Caenorhabditis elegans: one gene and its partner. The protein of the gene in region 1 purifies or fractionates together with the protein of each later gene. This does not show direct contact. Each region holds a gene or a part of one and is shown in the gene's direction. Other genes may lie near its edges.

Region 1 (7,314 bases):
AGAACGAGTAGAAAATATTTGTTTATCGTTCCACTGCTGAACTGATTGTCAATTTGATCATTTTGTTCATTTTATGTACTTTTTGACAGTTTTGTTCTGATAAATTAAATTTCAATGCAATGTAACTTTTTTTAAAGTAGTCTAATAGAAGAATTTGGTAATCATCTGAGAGTGGAAGCTATTTTTGTTATTAGAATCCTCAATAGTGTTGATTTTCTTCCTGAATATATTTTCAATGATTTTATACAATTTTTCAAATTTTTCAAATGTTCAAATTTTATTTTAAAGTACACCGTAAATAATATTTTTTTTAAGTTTTGACGATTAATGTTTGAAATGTTCTTGAGTCTTATTACTTGTATGCATAAGCATTACACTATTAACTTTTCCAGTGGCCTATAATATAGTTTTCTTGCAAAACAAGTAGTCTAAGCAAATAGTCTAACGTTACTTAGCAAATTATCAATTTGATATTTTTCATCAAGCGCTAATTTCAACATAGTTAAATTTGAGAGAACTGCAGTAGTGATTTCAAAATATCCGCAGCTTAAATGAGTTATTGTTCAATTTATTTCACGTCTTCAAAATTTGTTCGCAATAACCTTTAAACTCCGTAATCTCTTTCATGATCCATAAAATCTTAACACGTGCGAAACTGATACCAGGTACAGTTGTACTCAAATAACATTCTTGTTAAGCATTTATACTACAGTAGCTAAGAAATAAATTGAAAGTTATAAATTTTTATCAAGGACAAAGATTCATGTCTGTTTTTGCTTCACACTGTTGATTTGTTTCTCGTTCACGTGAATTCTGGACTGATGAACTTTTAACCATTACAATTTTTGAAAAACAATCAGAAGTTTTTTTTTCCAGTTTTTGACTCCACAAAATAGACAAACAAAACAAGCACATGTCAAACAACTGATCCTCATCTTCTGACAGTAATAATAATGATGCTATTTCATCTATACACCAGAGATCAATGTGAGGGAAAAACAACAAACGTACTTGTTCTTGAAAATGGGAATATGTTTAACATGGAATGATTCTTGTAAATTACAAAAGGTGGAATACATTTTTTTAAAACAATTTAACAGAAAAGTTACCTAATTTTCTCTATTAATATTGTTCCCTCTCTTAGGATTCAGTCCTATAAAGCAAGTAACGTCATATAAAATCATGCACTCCCAAGAAATTGGTTTTATCACATTATTTTGAGTTTTTTTTTAAATAAATGATCAAAGTAGAGCTTTATTTATTTTGTTCCTGATAAATCATTTTTTCTCGAATTGAAAAAAAAAAAAATTAATTCAGTTCTCCCAAAAAGATAACAAATTTATTCTATTATTTGTTTGACTAACTATTCCCTCTTGGCAGTTAACTTATCAAGAGTCTCACTTCCTAATCTGTCTAAAATGTGCACTGAGTTGCAAACTTTGACCCAAATAAAATTTGATAGTTCGTGCCGAGCACCTTTTTGAATGATAAGATATGGGTTGCTTTCAATATCAAGAAATTTCCTAGATTTTATGAACAATCAACGCGGCTTTTCCTTTTGTTTAATAATTTTATATGTGCAAAGGTCTTGACCGTGATCTTGCAATTTTTAATTTTTCTTTCAATTTTCACACAATCACGTCTGCTTTGTTTTCAAATTAAACCTACAATAGCAAAATATAGAAATTTTGAACTAGATTTTGATAATAAAACTTTGAACCCAACCTTACAAGGACGACATTAGTAATCACGTGACAAAACTGGTATTTTGACACTCTGAAAATGTTGACATCATAAAAAGGTCAGGTGACTCACTCATCTCCTTGGATCTTTACTGGGTCAGATTGTCTGTCTTGATAGAAAAATAAACGTTTTACCCTTCATTGTTCATGTTTGTAAATAGTATTTTCATTTTCTCTTTTCAGTTGTTCTTAGCGATAAGAAAGTGCTATAAATGTAAATATTTTTTATTTTTGCGGAAACTTTCTATTTGTGAATATTTAATCCTGTATACACTTTTAAAACTGTTCTAGAGGTTTGTTTCATTCAAATGTCTTGTTTCATCAATATGATCTGAAAATTTAACCGATCTTTGCATTACTGATTGTAAATTTTAGAGATTGCTGCATTGAACATCTTTCAGATAAAGAACAGATTGTATTTAAAACGATATTTTTTAAATATATTTTGGACTTTGAAAATCGCTGTACAGTTAAAATATATTGCTAGATGTCAAGAAGATGCCAAAATCTTGAGCATTTCCTATAGAAAGAATTTTTTGAAATTTTTTTCTAAGAAAACATGTTTCAGTTTATGTTTCATCATAGTCTGATAGTCGAAATATGACGTCTTTTTTTGAGAAATTGTTCTCTCACAACATTATGAACTTTGTACACACAATTCAGCATAAACTTTTCTGCTTTAGAATTAACTGTTTCTCCACATTATTCCAATTTATAATTATTTGACTATTGAAATTTTATGAAGCATACATTCTCCGACTTGAATTCATAATTGTGCCAATTCAAAGCTCCGAAAAACGATTCCTTTTACATTCTCCGCCTCCCATTTGGTCTCTCCATCTTCTGTGCTGGGAAGAAGAGACCACCATCATACGTTATCTCAGATGACCCTCTTATTTTCTCAGAGAGAGAGAGAGAGAGAGAGAGTGTAATGGGGAGGTGAACCTGGTACGACCGGCTCATGCGGACCACGACTAACCTACAAAGTGCTCTCTTCATATGTAATTTATTAGCGACAACTGATGTTAAGTTTGCAAGTTTTCTCTTCTTTTCTTCATTTTCTTTTGTTGCGTTCTAGTTTGAATCATAAAATGTGATTTTGGTCTCCCAATGACAATTTATTATTGTTAGTTTTGATCTTCAGTTTAAAAATAGTGGTTATCAATCATTATTGATAGACCAACTGTCAAATGACCATTAGATCTCAAGTGCCCGCCCTCAATACTTTTTCATTGAAATTTTTAAGTTTTCCTCGCCTTCAACCTTTTATGAACAGCCATTTTTTGAATCATTTTCATGAATAAATGTGTATTCATGTGGTTTTTGTGGTTTATTTGAGACAGGGTCAACAGTTCAGTGACTCTGTCTGGTTAAACAAACTTTGTTTCTTTCCACTTGCCTCCTTCGTTTTTTTTCTTTTTATAAAATGTTTATATTGATTTTCTTGGTTTCTAAATCACATTTTCATCTCATAATTTAATTTCAGATATGTTACTTTCAATATTTTACTTTTATGGCAGTTGTATAACACTGACCTACTTCTCAACAGTCGTCCTTATTTTCTTTGGTCTGAGGTATGTCGTAGACGCACTTGACGTTGTGTAAAATCAAACATGTTATCAGCTGGGGAGTGCTTCCACAATGGTATCTTCACGTGGTTGCAATGATTCAAGGATATTTCCCACGAGAAAAACTTGAAAACACATATGAGAATGAAGAGAGTGAAGAACAAAGGGTAAGTGAAGTCGACATTTGGATCTTCCGGTGACTCATGTTTTGACTTTTCAGAGTGAAAAATCGGCAGATCAAATTGCTGAAGAACGAGTGAAGAGGATAATTGATGTGGGTTAACATTGAGTTTATAATCTATTGGTTAATTGTTTGGACTAATTACAGACTGATCTTGGACCATGCTTTCAAACAGCTCCTACGATACGGCCTACTCTATTAGGCATGATGCCTGAGAAGAATTGGAATTCAACAGAGAAGGCAATTTTCTTTGCCGGATTAATTTTTAGGTGAGAACTTGTTTCCAGTTTTAAAGTTATGTTTTGTAAAACTGAATACAAATTTTATATTTAAAAAAATAGAACGCAATTCGCAAATCAAAATTTTTCTAATTTTCTTACGTTAACGCAGTAAATGTTGAAACAAAATTTAATCTGCATATTATTTAATTCAAATATATTATTCAACATTAAATTTTATAATGGTTTCAGAATATTTTTCCTTATGCCTGTGCGAGTTTGTCTACTCCTCACATCATTTGTTTTTGTTGCACTTGCTGGACTTCAAACCGCATTCCGAGTAAGTTTCATCATTTATAGAACAATTACTGTACATCAAACTTGAAACTCCAGACACTATCGGATCGTGAAAAAACATGGGTTGCTATCGTATACTGTCGATTGTTTTGTGGTAGTATGGGACTAGTTGCCAACTACAGAAACCCACAATTCAGACCCAAGAAACCAGGAGTTGCAGTTTCGAATCATTTAACCCCAAATGATATTCAAATTTTATGGGCTGGAACACCACACGGAAGCTCATATGGATACGTTGTCACTGGCCAAAAACACAAAGGAATCATTGGTATTTATTGTTATTTACGTGTTGTTTGTTAACTTTTTGTGTACTTAGGAATCATTGAACATTTGGTTGAGAAACTATGCCCATCACTTTGGTTGGAAAGAAAATGCAGTAATGAGAGACAGGGATTTCTGGCTGAAGTTATGAAAATTGCTAAACGAGAAGGACCAGTGTTACTATTTCCGGAAGGATATTGTTCAAACAACAGCAAGGTGCTGCAATTCAGAAAAGCTATTTTTGAAGAAAATGTCAATATCTATCCAGTTGCAATTAAGTGAGTATTTTTCAGTATTTTACCTCGGAAAACTGAAAGCTGACAGTTCAAATTGACTTAACTGTTTTTTAATCTAACAAAAATTTAAAAAAAAAGTTCTAAGAATAATTGTATTTTTTTGTGCAGATATGTGAAGATATCAGTTTAATTTTTTTAAGTCAAAATTTTTTATTCTCTGACAGTTAGTAGCAATTTCTCCTAGATTACCTTTTTTTTTTAAGTTTTCTGAAAGTAAAAGGTAACGAGTCTCAAAGTTATTAGCTGTTTGGTTAATACAATTTTCAACATTTTTTTTGTAATAACCACTATTTTTTAAGGCAATCCCCAGAGTTTGGAGATGGCTTTTGGTATGAAGACGAATTTTTCCAATACTTAGTTCGAATTATGCTTAACTGGGCAGTTGTCTATGACATTCAATATCTTCGTGAGTTTTTGATGTATTTTATGTAAAATTCCTTTAAAAAAATTTTAGCTATGGAAGTACGAAAAGAACATGAAAATAATTCTCTGTTTGCTGCTAGAATTCAGCAAGTCATTGCGAATGCAGCCGGAATTCCATCATGTGAATATGGAGGAAGTCTCTGGTATAAGTGAGTGAGCCCATCAAGAAAAACAAATAATTCAAACGGAGTCTCATTCCAGACAAGAAGAAAGGAATAAACTGAAGGAAACCCTCAAAACTCAGCATGATATTTCTGGAAGCAGAAATAATAGTGATAGTGGGATATCTGGTGGAGGAGGAAGCAGTGATAATTTGAGCATCGACGATTTCGAATCTGTTTCGGAGAACCAGTGTGAGGAAAATGTGATACCGGCTATGAACTGAATTTGTACATTGTAATTTTTGTTATTAAATCATATTGAAAATTAAAACAACAACCAAAACGTGTCTTCATAATAAAAACTTTAAAATACTTTTCGAAAATATTTTTTATCAACTCGAAAAAAACTGCGTTTTGCTATTCGGCCCTACACAAAAAAATACTGATGAAAATGAACTATACAAAAATAGAAAAAATAACACACAGATGTGCGTCTCAAAAATTAATTTTAAATAAAAACTTTCAAAAAGTTTTCAAAAATTAAAATATCGGTAATTTCACTCTTTTTCAATTAAAAAAAACATTGTAACTGGAAAACAGAATTTAAATGAGAGGCGACGTTTTTGGGTTTTATAATAAAAAAAATTAAGGTATATGTGTATGCAATTTTAAAAAACCAATAAATTCACTAGATATGTACTACGTCGTTCTTTTCAATCCTGACTTTGTTAGGAATCTCCTTTCCAGAAGTTGTTTCGAATGAACGCAATGGCAAAAATGGAAGGAAAAAAGGAATAATTCGTCCTTTGCATCGACATCTTGTTGTGTTCTTTTTTGTCCCTCTTCATTCTATTGGCGTGTTCGGGATATTATCCTCTCCTCGCCAACCAGCAGCTACTACCAACTTTTTTGTCGATGTTCGTCTTCTCTTGTGTTTTTGTGTGTTCCCATTTAGTTTCAGTTTTTGTTCTGCGCATTTCACAAAACTTTACTATTTTCAAAGTTCTTCGACACGCAAAAAACTCTACAAAAGTTTACTTTCAACTTTTTTTCGTATTTGGATTTATTTTAGCTATTTTTTTTAACGACTGGTTTAAATAAAAATAGGATGGGAGAAATTTTAGTAGACTTAATATGTAAATGTGAAAGAATTTTAGTAGACTTAATATGTAAATGTGTAATTTCCAACAATTAAACGAGGAGAAAAGACGAAAAATAAAAAAAATTATCGAAAATAGAACACTTTGTCACCATCAAAATCACTAACACTAGCAAAATAGCACAGTTTCATAGTCATATTACATATGCATGTTATAACAACAAACCTATTTTCATCTTTTGAAAACCCTACACACAATTCCACTTTTTTATGGAGAAATACAACCACATATAATCTTTTGATTTCAAAAAGTTATTTGTAATTGCCAAGCATTCATTACTTGGAGATCACGTTTTCCAAAACATCTTCGTCAGCAATTATTAAAACTTGGGAGTTTTTTTAAAGAATTATTGTATGCATTAGAGTGCGTTCTTATTGAGTGTTTCAAGTATGGAATTTGTTCTCAATTAACAAATTATTCTTAAACACACAATTTAAAATTAGTGCTTCATGTACAATTATATAGTCCGTGAAACAATGCAAATCTCCAAAAATTTTTAAACTTATTTAAAACTTGATAGGTACTTTTCAGCATATTTTAGTCTAAGGAGCCCTTTTATTGTTTTCAAAATAGTAGGACAGCAATTTTCTAATGAGTTAGAATTCACTCAACCAACCCTCAGAGGCATACCGTACTGTTTCTTCAAAATTTTGATTCTTTTAGTTTTGATTTCCATTTAAAAAATGCGTCAATCTGAATACTACCTATTGTTCAACTTTTCTATTTCAAACTGCATTCCCATACTCTTTCGTCGCTCCAATTTTTATGGGACAAAATTGGCGGGGGTTTTGAGTACCTCCTGGCCTCTCGTCCCATTCTTTGTGATCACACTTTTTGTTTCATTTCACACTTCATCCCCACACTTTCAACCGATACGAATTCGTATCGCAGATTTGTATAAAACATAGCGAAAAAGGAACGGCGACAAGTTTTGATTGGTTTTACAATGCAAAACTTTTTTGTTTATTAATATGTATGGTCTTGTCAATAATTGTTAGATTTTAGAT
Region 2 (7,488 bases), on another chromosome or scaffold:
CTGAGCTGCTCAGTGAGCTATTTTATGATGGTGCACTTGTTTCTGGAGTTAGTGAGCTTGCAAGAAGTGATTTCATGACAAAGAGAGATGATTTCTGGCCTAATCCCAAGTTTCCCATGATGTTTGTGAACAATACGGGTGCATCTACAAAAATGGGAACATCTACGAGTAACTCATCGGAGAAATCAATTGTTGGAGAAATAGTACAAAATCTTATCAATGATCCTCGCAACCCAGTCAATCCAAGTGACATTGGAGTGATCTCATTCTACAGTGCTCAAACTTCGATTCTCACTGAGCATCTACGTGGAAGCGGTGTCAAGTGCGGTACGGTCGACGCGTTCCAAGGATCTGAAAAGGAGATCATCATCATGTGCAGCACGAACGAACGGATCTCGGACTTTATGCAGCTAAGTAATCGCTTGAACGTTGCAATGTCCCGTGCGAAGCAGGTCACAATCATTATTGGTCATTTGGATGGATTGAGAAGAGCCAATTATTGGAGCACAATTGTGAACAAAATTGAGCAAAATGGGAATTTGGTTAATGCAGTAAGTTTTTTATTTTTAAATTTTAATTTGGACTCAGTTTGAAATACTAAGTTCCGTTCAATATTGGTTATTGTTTTTAATTATTAGGTCTCCAAATAAGTTCCGGGTCAAAAATCATAACTTTGTTCGCTGCGAATCGATTTTTATGAAATTGTGGGAATTTATGTTATCAACCATGGTCTTTCATTTGACAATAGTCACAAAATTTTTTGGCCGTCCGAAGTGCCCGTACTCGGAGCCAATTTTTTCAGGCATTTTTCAGATCTCGCTTCTTTTCAGGTTTCAACTGAGGTTTGTGTGCGGATATTGCTTAGTTTAGTACACAATGTAAGAAAACAAGAAAAGTTTGAAAAAGAATCCGTCCAAAAAAAAATTTTTTGTCGTTCGTCAAAAAAATTTTGTCGAAAATTCTTGATTTTTCATACAAAAATGACGTAACCATGTGCAAACTATTTTTACACATACAAAAAAAATTCAATTTAGTGCGTCACACTAAAAAATAACAAAAAACACAGCTCTTTCGAACTATTTTCGAGTTTTTGGAGTATTTCTCGAGATCCAAATTTCATACTCAAATGTTTTGTATGTGTAAAAATAGTTTGCACATGGTTACATCATTTTTGTATAAAAATTCAAGAATTTTCGACAAAAATTTTTTTGTAGATTTTTTGACGAGCGACAAAAAAAATTTTTTTGGACGGATTTTTTTTTCAAACTTTTCTTGTTTTCTTACATTGTGTACTAAATTAAGCAATATCCGCACACAAACCTCAGTTGAAACCTGAAAAGAAGCAAGATCTGAAAAATGCCTGAAAAAATTGGCTCCGAGTACGGGCACTTCGGACGGCCAAAAAATTTTGTGACTATTGTCAAATGAAAGATCATGGTTGATAACATAAATTCCCACAATTTCAGAAAAATCGATTCGCAGCAAACAAAGTTATGTTTTTTGACCCGGAACTTACTTGGAGACCTAATAGTTTGATAGTGTTTTGAAGGGCTTGCGGAGCTTGTATAACTTAGTAGATCAAACTGAGACTACGCCTCACTAATATTATTTTTATGAATTACTGAAATTTGCTTTCAGAATGACTGGTATCAAAATCAACGAAGAAATAAGGTATCATTGTCATCGTATCCACTAATTTCAACATCACGACAATCGAAACAACAACGTGCCAATGAATATAATTCACAACACAAACACGTTAAAAGACAAAGTAACAATGATTACGGTAGCCAACGGAGCGTGACTAACTCATTGAATCCAGAATTTGTTGGGGTAAGCAGGGCATTCATTATTTGCCATTTTTTAATGTTTAAAAGTTTATATCATCGCAGTAAAAGTAACTTTTACATACTGTAATCCAAACATTGACTGATCTAATCCGATAATAGTTTCAGAAATGGGATGACGAGACGTATGGAGATTGGCCCACCATCCAGAAATCAACATAAATATCCAATTTTAGTCTTCTACTAGTTGTTTTTACCGTTTGTATTCATATCAAATTTTCATGATGATCTTTTGTTTCCATCTCCAAGCTTTCACTTTTTGGTTGTTTTAATTTTTTTTTTCTGTTGAAATTGAGTGTTTTTTTTCTGTTGAAATTGAGTGTTCCATTTTTATATGAAATGGATTTTGTCTGTCTTGGAAATTCTTTTGAAGACATTGAATCACAGAAGAATGTTTAAACATTTTCAGAAATTGTACGGAAAAAGTTGGGACCAAGAGAATTATGGTAAAATAAAACTTGTAATATGTATTACAATTTAGAAATAAAAAACTATAAATTTTCAAAGTTGGTTTTAAGTGCGTACAATATAATAGCCATTAAAAAGATATAGAGTAACCATGAAGAAAAATTCAACTAATACCTTTATTTTTCTAATTGAGAACTAACAGTTCAAATCCTTTAATGGATACTTTACAAATTAACTGTTGTTTTTGTTGGTAGGACTATTCACGAACGAACTAAAAAACGCATTAAATGGCTCTGCCAACTTTAGTCAAATTTTTTAACAGATTAATGCTTTTTGCAAACTCTCGCTATGCATTGGCGGTGAGAGACGCAGATAATACTTTTTTCTCTGGACGTGAAAAACACAAAGGATAACCGTTTTGCCATCTGCGTCTCTTCTTTCACACGCTATTTTGGCGGTGGACGAGGAATTCTCCTCTTCCAGGATTTTCAAGGCCATTTGCTCACATTTCTCAAGTTTTCTTGTCCGCGAGAAAACATGAATTTTGAGGCAGCCAGCGAGCACGTGCCAAAAATTTTTGGTAAACTTCGCCCTGTGCCAAGACCTAATCAGGATGTGCCTAACGCCTGCCCAAGATCTGGAAAACGCAAAAAAATATATCTGGAAAAAATACTAAAAACTAAAAACATGAATAGTTCTGACAGAGACTGTTTCATGAATTTTGCAACATTCGATAAATGGTACTTTCAAAAGTGCTCAAAGATCACGGCCATGGTCACAAACTTTTAGATAGCATATATTTCGACTTTAGACCAGAATTGATAAAATATCCATTCGATAAGAAAAAATGTTGCAGACCTAGTTTGTTTACATATTCTTTCACACCAATTTTATGAGTTCAGTCTATCATCACTCTGAAAAGTACATGGCTTTATCATGTAATCACGAGAAAATCGAAACGCGGGATAGTTATATCTATTAAACTGACCATATTTTTATTCATTTTCTATCTGAAGATATGATTTTGAAACAATTTTTATGGTTTTTTTAACGAGCTCAACTCTTTAAATAGGTTGTTCTGATATAGGAACATTTGTAGATCAAAAATTATGATGATCTCAATTTTCAGTCTGTTGGCTTCAACAGCCATTTTGGTATTTGCTAATGGGCAGAGCAATGTCAAATTGGAGTTTGTTCAAGCGGTAAGTTATATGAAATCCTAAATGCCAAATTTAGTCCTCAGTGAAAGTTACTTGGGTAGTACAATTTATTTTTAATTATTTCAAGATGTGGAGACACGGAGAACGTGCATCTCAAGTTGATCAATACCCAATTTACGAAAAAGATTGGATTTATGGAGGAGGTGGTCTCGGAGAGCTGACTGCAATTGGAATGGGAGAAATGAACGAACTTGGATGGCTTATTCGTAAAAGATATGTTACTAAATTGAAGTTTTTGACACCAAAGTATGCGTCCAGAGAGGTATACCCTAAAAATGTTAGAACGTGCCAAAATATGATTATTTCCAGGTATATTTTAGATCAACTAATTTCAATCGTACCATTATTTCGGCACAATCACTTTTGTACGGGCTGTTTCCACCAAGCTTGTATGATGTCAAAAGTAGGTTGTCAAAAAATTGATTAAATTTTTTATGCCAAACGGTTCAAACTTAAAGCCAATATGACTTTTTCTGTTGAACGAATAGATAAATTTAGTCCAGTGATATCTTTACTTTTTAATTTTTCATATTGAAATTGTCTGCACGTCTCTTATAAAATTAGCAAAAATCCAACTATTATATTACCTCTAATGCATTAGTTTTGATGATTACCATATTCAGACGTTGACTATCCATACTCCCCACTCACTTGGTTCCCTGGATTCACGTTTGTTCCAGTTCACGTCGATGGTCCGGATCAGTGTGTATGTTGTAAATTTACATTGGTTCTCGAGTAGTCTTAAATAATCTTACTGCGCGTGCCAGTTAAAATTACAAAATTATTACAAACCTTTCCAGGCCGCTAGTCAGAACTGTCCATGCACAAGATACGATCTTCTCCAAGGGCAGATGTTGACTCTTCCGGAAGTTTTGCCAAAGTATACGCAGGTAAGGTTTGATTGAATTATACTATCATCGGTAACCGTATTCACGTTGTGATGGCTTTGTCGGTAACTATGAACAGGCGCCTAAAATGCCTGCCTTCCGCCTAGACGCTTGCCTACTAGTAGACCTACTGTCAAGTTTTTCGTGAACGATTGTTCATTTATCATTCGATCAAATGCGTAAAGCTACAATATGTGAATCTCAAATATTGTAGTTTAAATCCTGACTGCCTGAATGTAGAAAATAGACGGTAGGCAGGCACGTGCCTCCTCTGAATTTCAATTTTTAGGTGGTCCTACTTAACCGTCGTGTCGGTGGATATTACAACATGACATCTGGCCTAGACTCCTTCACAACATACCCAGATACGTGGAAATGCCAGAGAGCATATTTCAACAGAACTATGTACGCGAAGCTTCCATGGTACAATGAAGAACTCTACTATCAAGCCCAAGTTACATATGCTCCGGTTAAGGGATTTTTAGAGGGAAATTTTGGTTAGTTGGGACGAGATTAAAGTCTCAGTGAAGCTTGGTTTCAGAGAATCCTGCTGTCACTTCTTCCGGGCTCGATGTGGGTCTTGAAATCAAAAAAGTTCGATCCGGAGTTATTATCAATGAAGTTTTCAATCGTGCCAATGAAAAATTGAATTGTGCAGAGCTGGGACAAAACTGCACTAGCTATTTGAATAAGCTGAAATTCTATGGATATTCTATTGTAAGAGATTTTAAAGTTTACTCCATAATTTAAGTTCAAAAATGCATGATATCTAGCCACGATCTTACCGTAGTTGGGAATACGGTAGACTACGGTAGTATTACTGTACTTGACTGGAAGTTAAGTATACCATCATAGTAGGTAGGAATCTGTTCATCCCTAGCTACCTCTGCCTACCTCATGCCGAGGCACCAGTCAAGGCTTGTCGGAATGTAGGCAAGCATTGTAGGTAACTCTAAGAAATTGAAATATAAAAAAAAAGAAAAGAAAAGCTAGTTACTTTTCATGCGAATTTTTTCAGGATTTTCAGAAAAAAAAATTTTGACAAAAAAAATGTTTTTTTTAATTTTTGAAATCAATTTTCCAAGATCTCACAACAAATTCGTTTTCCAGCATGACAACAATGTGTACGGTGTCCTGGTTGCTCTTGGTATTCCACAAATCGCTAACACACTTGACGGATGGCCAGCATACGCAGCTGGAATATTTATGGAATTCCACAGAAACACGTCAACAAACGAGAGATTCTTCAAGGTATTCCAGAGAGAAACCAGAAAATTCGAACAATTAAATTTTCAGGTTCTGTACCGTGAAGGAGATGACACTCCGATTTCTGATGTGACAAGTCAACTTCCAATTTGTAATGGAGCCACCTTGTGTCCACTTGGAGCTCTTCAGACTTTGGCCGAGACACTGAAGCCACTTCCAGATATTACTACTGTAAGCTCTTGTTTCCAAAAATTTCGACTTTATAAAAAATTTTCAGCTCTGCAAAACTCCTCTATGAATTACTGGAACTGTAATTTTTGTTGTAACTCAATTTTTATATTTTTTTATGAACTATTTCATTAAAACTCTTTTTGTTCACACAATCCTAAACCGGTATTATAGGCAAAAGACAAAAAAGTAACAAACAACGGACTAAAGAAGTATTTACACATTTCACGGAAATTTGTCAAAATTGACAAATTATCCTTGATTAAGAGGAGCCTGTCCCATTGGCTTCAGATTTTCGGAAATTTCGAATTTGCAAGCGGTGAGTTTCTTGATATCATCTACAGTAAGATCCTTCCTGACTTCGATCAATGTCAATCCGTTCTTTGTGTCCACGTCGAAAACTGCCATATCAGTAATGATTCGGGAAATTACTCCTTTGCCGGTCAGAGGAAGTTCGCAGTGCTCTAGAATTTTTGGCTCTCCGTTCTTCGATACATGCTCCATTACAACGATCACACGGGCTCCGGGAGCAGAGACAAGATCCATTGCACCGCCCATTCCTTTCACCAATTTTCCCTGGAAAATTTTAGAAATTTATTAAGATGGAAGATTAAGCGGAAAAGTATATTTTTATGAAGTTGTCTAAATTTTTTGTTTTTGGGGGTTTTTCGTTTTTTTTTTAAAGTTTTTTCGGACCAACAAAATAAATTCAGATATATATTTAAGAAATAAAATCAAGATTTTTTGGAGTTTTGTAGAATTAATATTTTTAATCAAAAAATTATTTTTATTGAGACTAGATCTGGCCAAAATTGTTCGGTTAATAATTTTCGATCAGTCTATGTGCTGCGTGCATTTTATTTAATTTGAGTTGCTTATCTTTTTTAGTTGAAACTTCGAGCGTTTTTAGACATCACTGATAAATAATTTCAGATCACTGATCATATTTATCTTATCACTCGGTCGATTAAAACACAAAGAACGAATTATCAGTGATCTATTTTTTCTCAAAGCTCACCGGAATCATCCAATTCGCTAAATCTCCAAACTGTGAGCACTGAAGTGCACCGAGCACAGTAATATCCATATGAGAACCACGAATCATTGCGAATGATTCATCAGAACCAACAATTGAAGCTCCTTTGAGAAGAGTAATTGGCTCTTTTCCAGCATTAATGAGATCGGCGTCTTCTGTTCCTTTTCTTGGATATGGTCCCTGAAAAACAAAAATGAAAATAAAAATAATTAATTTAAATTTCCTTACCACTCCAATAATACCATTCTCACTTTGCAAATGAACAGTAAATCCATTTGGTATATAATTTGGCGCCAAAGTCGGAATCCCGATACCCAAATTGGCGTACATTCCATCTGTGAACTCCAAAGCTGCACGTGCTGCAATGATTTCTCTCGATTTTCCAGCAGCCGATGTAGATGGTTTTATTGGTCCTTCGTGTGCGAACATTGGCCGTTCGATTGGTTTTTTGTAGTTCTTTCCCAAAACTAGACGATGACAATAGATTGATGGAATGTGCACATCGTTTGGAGCAATTACTCCCGGTTCGACGATTTCCTCTACTTCGACGATGGTGCATTTAGAGGCTTTGCACATTGGATTATTGAAATTTCCAGCAGCATGTCTGAAATTTTGATTTTTGTTGTTGTTGTAATTTTTCAAAAATGATTTTTTAA

The links. Proteins that work in one complex are often made in the same cells at the same time.
Region 2: the proteins of M79.2 (region 1) and pho-11 fractionate together in Caenorhabditis elegans (co-fractionation; one large-scale study listed by BioGRID). This does not show direct contact.

Annotation. Positions count from the first base shown.
Region 1 is NC_003284.9:10,624,722-10,632,035, reverse strand, and holds M79.2 (Phospholipid/glycerol acyltransferase domain-containing protein), read left to right. Parts: upstream 1-3,228; 5' UTR 3,229-3,230; coding exon 3,231-3,316; intron 3,317-3,365; coding exon 3,366-3,477; intron 3,478-3,530; coding exon 3,531-3,584; intron 3,585-3,638; coding exon 3,639-3,760; intron 3,761-3,961; coding exon 3,962-4,049; intron 4,050-4,102; coding exon 4,103-4,334; intron 4,335-4,382; coding exon 4,383-4,605; intron 4,606-4,922; coding exon 4,923-5,029; intron 5,030-5,077; coding exon 5,078-5,195; intron 5,196-5,247; coding exon 5,248-5,431; 3' UTR 5,432-5,518; downstream 5,519-7,314.
Region 2 is NC_003280.10:9,928,499-9,935,986, forward strand, and holds pho-11 (Putative acid phosphatase 11), read left to right. Parts: upstream 1-3,350; 5' UTR 3,351-3,364; coding exon 3,365-3,457; intron 3,458-3,542; coding exon 3,543-3,737; intron 3,738-3,784; coding exon 3,785-3,878; intron 3,879-4,098; coding exon 4,099-4,181; intron 4,182-4,275; coding exon 4,276-4,365; intron 4,366-4,651; coding exon 4,652-4,859; intron 4,860-4,903; coding exon 4,904-5,079; intron 5,080-5,472; coding exon 5,473-5,613; intron 5,614-5,658; coding exon 5,659-5,799; intron 5,800-5,845; coding exon 5,846-5,866; 3' UTR 5,867-5,933; downstream 5,934-7,488. Other genes in the region: C05C10.2 (DNA2/NAM7 helicase-like C-terminal domain-containing protein), read left to right, coding at 1-551, 1,639-1,833, 1,950-2,009; C05C10.3 (putative succinyl-CoA:3-ketoacid coenzyme A transferase, mitochondrial), read right to left, coding at 6,049-6,372, 6,815-7,012, 7,061-7,436.